2 linked regions of the Coturnix japonica genome follow. The protein of the gene in region 1 purifies or fractionates together with the protein of each later gene. This does not show direct contact. Links are inferred from orthologs where the notes say so. Each region holds a gene or a part of one and is shown on either strand. Other genes may lie near its edges.

Region 1 (2,994 bases):
TCCTGTCCGATGATCACGTTCTGGCAGCAGCTCTGTGGAGGAACCTCTTTAACAGGAACTGTGAGGACCCTCGGCATCTGGAGTTACTCGTGGAGTATGTGCGCAAACAGGTACACTGCAGCTCACAGCACAGCTTCTCTCCATTCTCTTGGTTAGGGTGTTGAGTATTTATCTTTATTGCTTGGGTAATGCATAGCTCCATTGTTTTTATCTATATCACTTTTTTTAAGAACCCGCTGAATGTTTTTAAGGAGATAAAAGTAAAGACATTAACAGATTCATTGCAGTTTGAATAATGTCTGGAGAGAAACTCACAGAAGATTGAGAGCATCCCTGCTTATTCTTTTTCTGCACCCGCTTCATGAAGGGACTCAGTGTTTTGGCAGTGGGTGGTAACTCGTACAGTCATACCTGGTGCTGTGGAGACATTTTGGTAATGAAATGGTTTACACACAGTAATTAAAAATCTTCTGTTTTGGGGGGGAAAGACATAAAAGGTTTTTTCCAGGTTCATTCAGTTACTATGCAGAGGAAAATGTTTAATAGTGTTTGTCCTCTCAACCTTTAGAAATCTGGCTCAGAAACCTCCTGGGAAGTACTGGGTAGGACCTGGTAAATGTGGGTCCTGGTACGTACCAAAGACAGAAAATGGGTGAGAAGAGGGCTGGAGGAAGGAAGGGTTTAGCTGTGGGACAGGAAATTGGAGACCAGAAACTCCACAGCAGCATTCTCAGTAGTGTCTCCAATGCTGTATTTAGGACCAGATAGGGAGTTGGAGATGTATTTCAGTGTAACTCAGAAAATTGAATGGAAAATGAAGGGAATTTGTCAGAGACGCCTTTGGAATGCCAGCAGGCAGTGTGCGCTGGCTGTGTACTGCCATCTGGAAAGTGTGTAGCAACTTTATATACTGAAGCAGAGGACGGGAAAGAAGCTTTCAGCAGCCTAATAGGAAATAGTAATTACACAGATAAATGTAGCACATTGGAGAAAAGTCAGCACAGCTTCTGTGGAGGCAGGTCATTTCTCACCCATCTGTGGTTTGAAAGCATCACTATAGATAACAAGTGTCTGACTTATCCTCTTTATGGATCTTTAGGAAACATCCAAAAAAACCAAAAACCCACCTCAACAATGATTTCTATTACAAGAAAGAAAAAAATTGAGCAGTGACAGGGGAAGAGTGAAGGTACTCTCATAGGCAAGCAACCTATTGAAATATAGACAACAGAGGTCAATCAGCCCTCACTTTTTAATGAAAGTGAGAAGGTTCATTGCAGTAAGGATTGGTAACTGTGAAGAAGTGGTTGGTGCAGTTGAGTGAAGACAATAGCAAAGTGGGTACACTAAGGGAGAAAAACAGATCCAGCTTTATGTTTAAAGAGATGAGCTCTAGGCTATCAGAAGAGCGCAGAGTTCTTGATTATAATTTTGATATGGAAATGGCAACTTTGCTCAGTAGTGTTTGATAAAAATAAAACAAGCGCTCAGAACTACTAAGGAAGAAAAAAACCTGTTGTGTTATGGTGCCACTTTTCAAGTCTATGACACCATTGTGGATTTGAATAATCTGTAATGGCCCAAAACAGTGAGAAAGATAAAAACTGAACTGAATAAGGCTCAGCAAAGAGCAGTGGAATTGGGAGGAAGCAAATTAGCAGTGACTGGGTTCCTTGCCTCTAAAACAGCTGGGAAAGAATATGAGACAGCTCTGTGAAACCCTGAAGGTGTATAGAAGGTGAGCAAGTGTGGTAATAAAACACTGGTATGAAACTAAGCTTCACCACACCGTTCTCTCTCTCCCCTTCCTCAAAAGAACAAGGGAACAAGGGCAGAAAATATGATGGGAAAAAAGCTCACAGGTTGAGATAAGAACTCACCAATTACCGTCACAGTCAAAATAGACTCAGCGCAGGGAGATGAGTGTAGTTTGTTTTGCTAACTACTAACAGGCTGGGAAGCAAACTGAAGACACCTTTGTTCCATGCTGGGGTGGTGCTAGGGAATGGGGAAGAGGAGCTGTGATCAGTCCCTAGTGCTTCCTTCCTGCTGCTGCCTGTTGGTTGCTGCCTTTTCCTGCTCCATGTGGGGTCCCTCCCATAGATGTCATCCTTTCTGAACAGTCCATGTGGACTTCCCATGAACTGCAGCTCTCCAAGCACTGCTCCAACATGGCTCTATACCATGAGGCCCATCCTTCAGAAGCAGACTGCTCCAACATCTGGGTGACTGCAGCACTCATTTCTGATTTCTCACCTGTCTCTCCCAACTGCTGTTGCACTGTTGCATAGCAGTTTGTTCTTCCATCTGTTCTCCCAGACACACTTAACATCATTCCTCTGGCCAATGGTAGGTCCATTCTGGGGGGAGCTGGAGCTGGCTCAGGTCTGACATGGGGCTCTGCTCACAGACTTCATTCTTGCATCCCTCCTCGCTACCAAACCCTTGCTACTCAAACCCAATGCAGCAAGGAAAGGCTGAGCATGGATTGCCACACGTTGCTTGGGATGCTGTGTGGATTCCAATGTTACTGGTGAGGTTTATGGAAGGGAAACCTGTCTGGGGTTATTAAGTACAGAACAACCACTTCACGCTCAAAATCACTAAACTAACAGATTTTAGGAGGGGTGGGAAATAAGGAAGTAATGTGATATTTATGCATTGTATTCATCTGCTGCTGGGAAGCCTGTTGACTCTCAGTAACACAATGCTGTGTGTAGGTGGCTTTTCAGTCTGATCCTGTGACTGTTGCTGTATTCTTCCCTCTGTTGAGAAACTGCTTGTCAAATTATATTGTGTTTCTGGTAAACACTGTAAATCCTTTGTGTAAGATATCTTTTGCACAAGTTCTTGCTGATCCTGTCTTTAACACTGGCTATTAGTGGATGCACAGAGAAGAATACAATGACAGGGCTGGCATGGGTACTAATTCCCTGGTGGACTCTCTCAGCAATCTGTGTTTGGAGATGTCCTGAGCTAGAGGTGGTACATCTG
Region 2 (3,986 bases), on another chromosome or scaffold:
CCTGCACAGAGCTGTTCTTGCAAGCGTTTCCCCACGCAGGTGCTTTGTTAAAGCACAGACATGGCAGATGCTGCAGAGCTCCTGGTTCTGTACTGCTGGAGGTGTATGAGCATGTAGATCTCAGACCAAACAATGGACCTTGCAAAGGTTTAATCCCCCCTGTGGGACGTAACAGACTGACAGCAGTCAGAGAGACATTCACATCAAGGTATTTATGCTTCGGATTAAAGAGAATAAAACATGTCAGGGACTGGATATTAAAGGTCACCTCAAAGTTCTTTGGTACAAATATAATGTGTGTCTTTGGAGGAAAGTGTCACAGAAAAAAAGCCACCCACCTGATTCAATGTTTACAGCTTTTGTTGACAGACTTTATTATGGAACAAACATAATTCCTTCCTGCACGGTGTGGGAAGCTTGGAAGGGAAGTCCCTACACAAGGGACAGGGGTACAGAACCCAGTTACTGGGAGCGGGGATACAAATAAAGTTGTCTCAGCAACTCTCACCTGTGGTCCATCTCCTTTCCAGTCCCAGAGCATCCCCAAATCACGCTCCATCTTTCCTTGAGGGCTGCACGTTTCCCATTATTTCCCCAAGTTTAAATACCAGATCTGCAGGGAGAGCCCTTCGCTCGTGTTTTACAGCACACAGCTGGAGAACTGCTGCAATTTATAGCTGGAAAATTCAAGTCATCTGGCCCGGCTGCGTATTTCACTTGGCCTGAAGCGCAGCTGGGAATATCTCATTATTTACTGAATATTGCTCATCGTGTCGCATATTATTGCATATTTCTGTCCCGCAAGCATCGCTGCCTATTAAAAAAGCCACAAACTTCAGCAGTGAAAGGGCTGCATCACCCCCAGCCTTGGCTCAGTGTCACACACAGTGCTCAGTGCTGATTGTAGCCCACATTGCACGGCTTATAGTGACCACACGGACCCTCCTCAGCTCAGAGCAGGAAATGGGGTCTGTAAATGGGGCAGGATGGGGCAGGCTCTAATATTGAAGCACCGGGAGCCCTGCTGGCACAACCTGGTGTGCCCCACAGGTGAAGGGGTGATGCTGTGTGATGCTGCACACACGTATCGCTCTATGGGGCCGGGTGGGCTGTGATCCCGGGGTGACCCTAAAGGTCCCATCCATCCTATGGGGTGGGGGGACTGCGCATGAGCAACTCCGCCCCCACCCTATAAGAATCACGTGTTAAATATGGCGGCCACCAGGTACCGGCGCTTCCTGCGGCTGTGCGAGGAGTGGCCGGTGGAGGAGACGAAGAGACAGCGGGATTTGGGAGCCTTTATTCGGCAGAGAGTGGCCCAGGCCTTCCGAGAGGGGGAGAACACGCAGGTGGGAGCGGGGACGGGGCCGGGACGGCGGCTGCGGCCTACATGGGGATGGGGGGGTGGTTGGTGTCTGTGTATGGTACCGAGATTTGTGTGTGTAAGGATTTAATGCAGCCAAAGGAAGGGATGGGTGAGGGATGGAGGGGCCTTAAAGGATGTTCTGTCAGCGGAATGTCTGCTTTATCCACGTGGAGGCAGCGCTGTTTAATGGCTATTGCTGCTGTCATCACTGCAACATCAGCGGGGTCACATGGAAATGACTGCAGATACCCCGAGCTGAGAATCACCTGCAGTTTGATGGTGCTCGACAACCTCTGGCCTCATCCCCTCTGCTGCAGGAGCCGTTTCCAGCCCCTTCCAGCACCCCAAGGACAGACGAGCTGTGTCATTTTATCCTGCCTTGTTATGGCTGATACTATTCTTGTTCATGTGTCTGTTTTAATCGTTGCCTTTGATGTCATTGGGCAGCAGTTCAGGGTCCTCATCAAGTTATTCCCTGCTATAAATTAGAAAAACAAGACGCCGTGCCATTCACAGACTCTGTAAGGCTGAGGCACCTGTCAGATGAACCGAGAGTTTTAGGTATTAGCAAAATCTTTCCAACTTACTGGACCAAAATAGAAATCCATTTACCCCACACAAGCTGCTCAGTGCTTTTCATGCCGCTTTTCCCTGATCAATTATAAACTATTTTTAGCTCGCACCAGGATTTTCTCTACCTTCCATCCCAGTACCTGATCCTGTTTGATCCTTTAGAATGAAGCAAAACCTGCCTTTGAGCAGAGAAAGCTCAGCTTTCACAGTGCTGGCCAATAAGCTTGAGGAGAAAACCATCCAGCTACGTTCACATTCCCTGTGCACTCACAGTTGAGCTGTCATATCTTTGTGAGCAGAACTCAAGGTCCCTTCTAGAACTTACATGCCTCATTATTCTTGTAGGCCAAGCTGGCCAGAAATGGAGGAGAAAGAAAATGCTCTGCATTCAGGAGCAGCACAATAGGGGTCAGCAGCATCCTGCATTGCACTGAGAACTCAGCTGCTCTTCTGCTGTCCTTCTCACAGACTTTCAGCTCAAATGAAATCTGTTGCTATGCAGGCTTTAAAATAAGACTTGTGTGATATTTCTGTCACTTTCCAGATCGCTGATCCTGAGACCTGCGACCAAATGTATGAGAGCTTGGTCAGAATCCACACCAACTTCTACAAAAACAAGGTAAGGTTTGCTGTTAGCCATTGCCAGCCCTTTAGTGGGGCAGTCACCACCTGCTGCAGTACCCTGCCTCTTAACAGCAGGGGTTCTGGGCATACAGCAGGCAAATGAGAAGTCAAGTGGCTGCTGCACTGCCTGCTGCCTTTGGGTTCCCCGGTGCTGCTGTGTCTGAACAATGCCAGGGGTAGTTTTTGCTATGGATGAGCACAGTTCTTATTTCTTGACTGAAAATGAGTAGGGCTCTGTTATTTATTTGGTGGTATATTAAGTCTTCTAGTGCACTTGTAATGCCTTGTTCTGTCTCTCCTTCTCTCACCTACTTGTTTGTGAAGTATCCACGCCTGAAAGACACAAGCTTCACTGGAGTGACAGTGCAAGATTGCAAGATGATCCTAGCAACAGGTACTAATACTGTGATTTGGGAGTAAATCAATGCAGGAGATAAATTACATTCTGTTCTTTGTGGTGTTCACTTCATCACCTCTACTAAACGCTTGTGACTAAAGGACTGATTGGGACTGCCATGCAGGTGTATTAGGATGGCTCGAAAGGTATCAGTTCAGGCATAATTGAGGAGAGTCTCAGTAATCTATCGGGACAAAAAGTCAATTGTGGTTTTTGCAGTGGGCAGGAACAGCAGAGGGTTTGTAAAGGCTTCTTCAGATAGAATGGCAGGAGCTGTATGAAAGCAATCCACGTTTGTTATGTGGCTCAAAAAATTCTTGACTTCCATTTCATCGTGTTCAAATTCCCTTCAGTACTTCTTATCTCGTATTAGACCTTGAGAGAAAACAGGGCACCACAATGCAGAAAGACTCTCAGCCAAATCATTTATTAAGCGTGGTGCAGGAAGCCAATGCCTTTTGTTCTGCTCCAGTTCCTAACTTTGACTGTAGCGCATGGCAACTGAATATTAGTTGTTAGAGATAAGGGGCTCCCTGCACAATTGATTGGAAGGGAAACAAACTTGCCTCAGGCCCTGAAATAGAAATTCATTAAGGCAAAAAGTCAAAAAGAGAAAACATTTGTAAGGCAAAGCTCTTATAAGAGAGCTTTCAGCCCTTTGCTTTCCTGCTTTTTTTCATCCTCTTTCCCCATCTCTCTCTGTTCTCCTTTTGCAGACATGCTGAAACAGATGGAAGACATGAAAAAAGGGACGTGGAGAAAATGGCGAGAAAGGTTTTACACCAAGAAATCTGAAGAGGACTCGAAGTGACAGGCTGACCCCTGCTCCCCCTGTACATATCCCTAACGCTCCGTGTTGCCATGATGAATAAAACCATTCATTCCTCTTAGCAACAGCAGGTTTTTTTTGTTCAGACTTTTTTTTTTTGTAATGTCTGCTCTTTTCCTTTTGGGAATGTGGGACCTACTTTACCACATCTGTGATGGGGGCATATCGGATCGGTGTAAATGTTATAAAGAAAAGGG

The links. Proteins that work in one complex are often made in the same cells at the same time.
Region 2: the proteins of ubiquinol-cytochrome-c reductase complex assembly factor 1 (region 1) and ubiquinol-cytochrome-c reductase complex assembly factor 2 purify together in Homo sapiens (co-immunoprecipitation; 3 studies listed by BioGRID and IntAct, counting the BioPlex papers as one, with this or other methods). This does not show direct contact. The link is inferred for Coturnix japonica from reciprocal best matches to the Homo sapiens genes UQCC1 and UQCC2.

The regions. Positions count from the first base shown.
Region 1 is NC_029535.1:1,169,896-1,172,889, forward strand, and holds part of ubiquinol-cytochrome-c reductase complex assembly factor 1, read left to right. Parts: coding exon 1-110; intron 111-2,994. UniProt on the Homo sapiens protein: Required for the assembly of the ubiquinol-cytochrome c reductase complex (mitochondrial respiratory chain complex III or cytochrome b-c1 complex). Involved in cytochrome b translation and/or stability.
Region 2 is NC_029541.1:4,422,671-4,426,656, forward strand, and holds ubiquinol-cytochrome-c reductase complex assembly factor 2, read left to right. Parts: upstream 1-1,183; 5' UTR 1,184-1,211; coding exon 1,212-1,349; intron 1,350-2,483; coding exon 2,484-2,558; intron 2,559-2,887; coding exon 2,888-2,957; intron 2,958-3,676; coding exon 3,677-3,771; 3' UTR 3,772-3,859; downstream 3,860-3,986.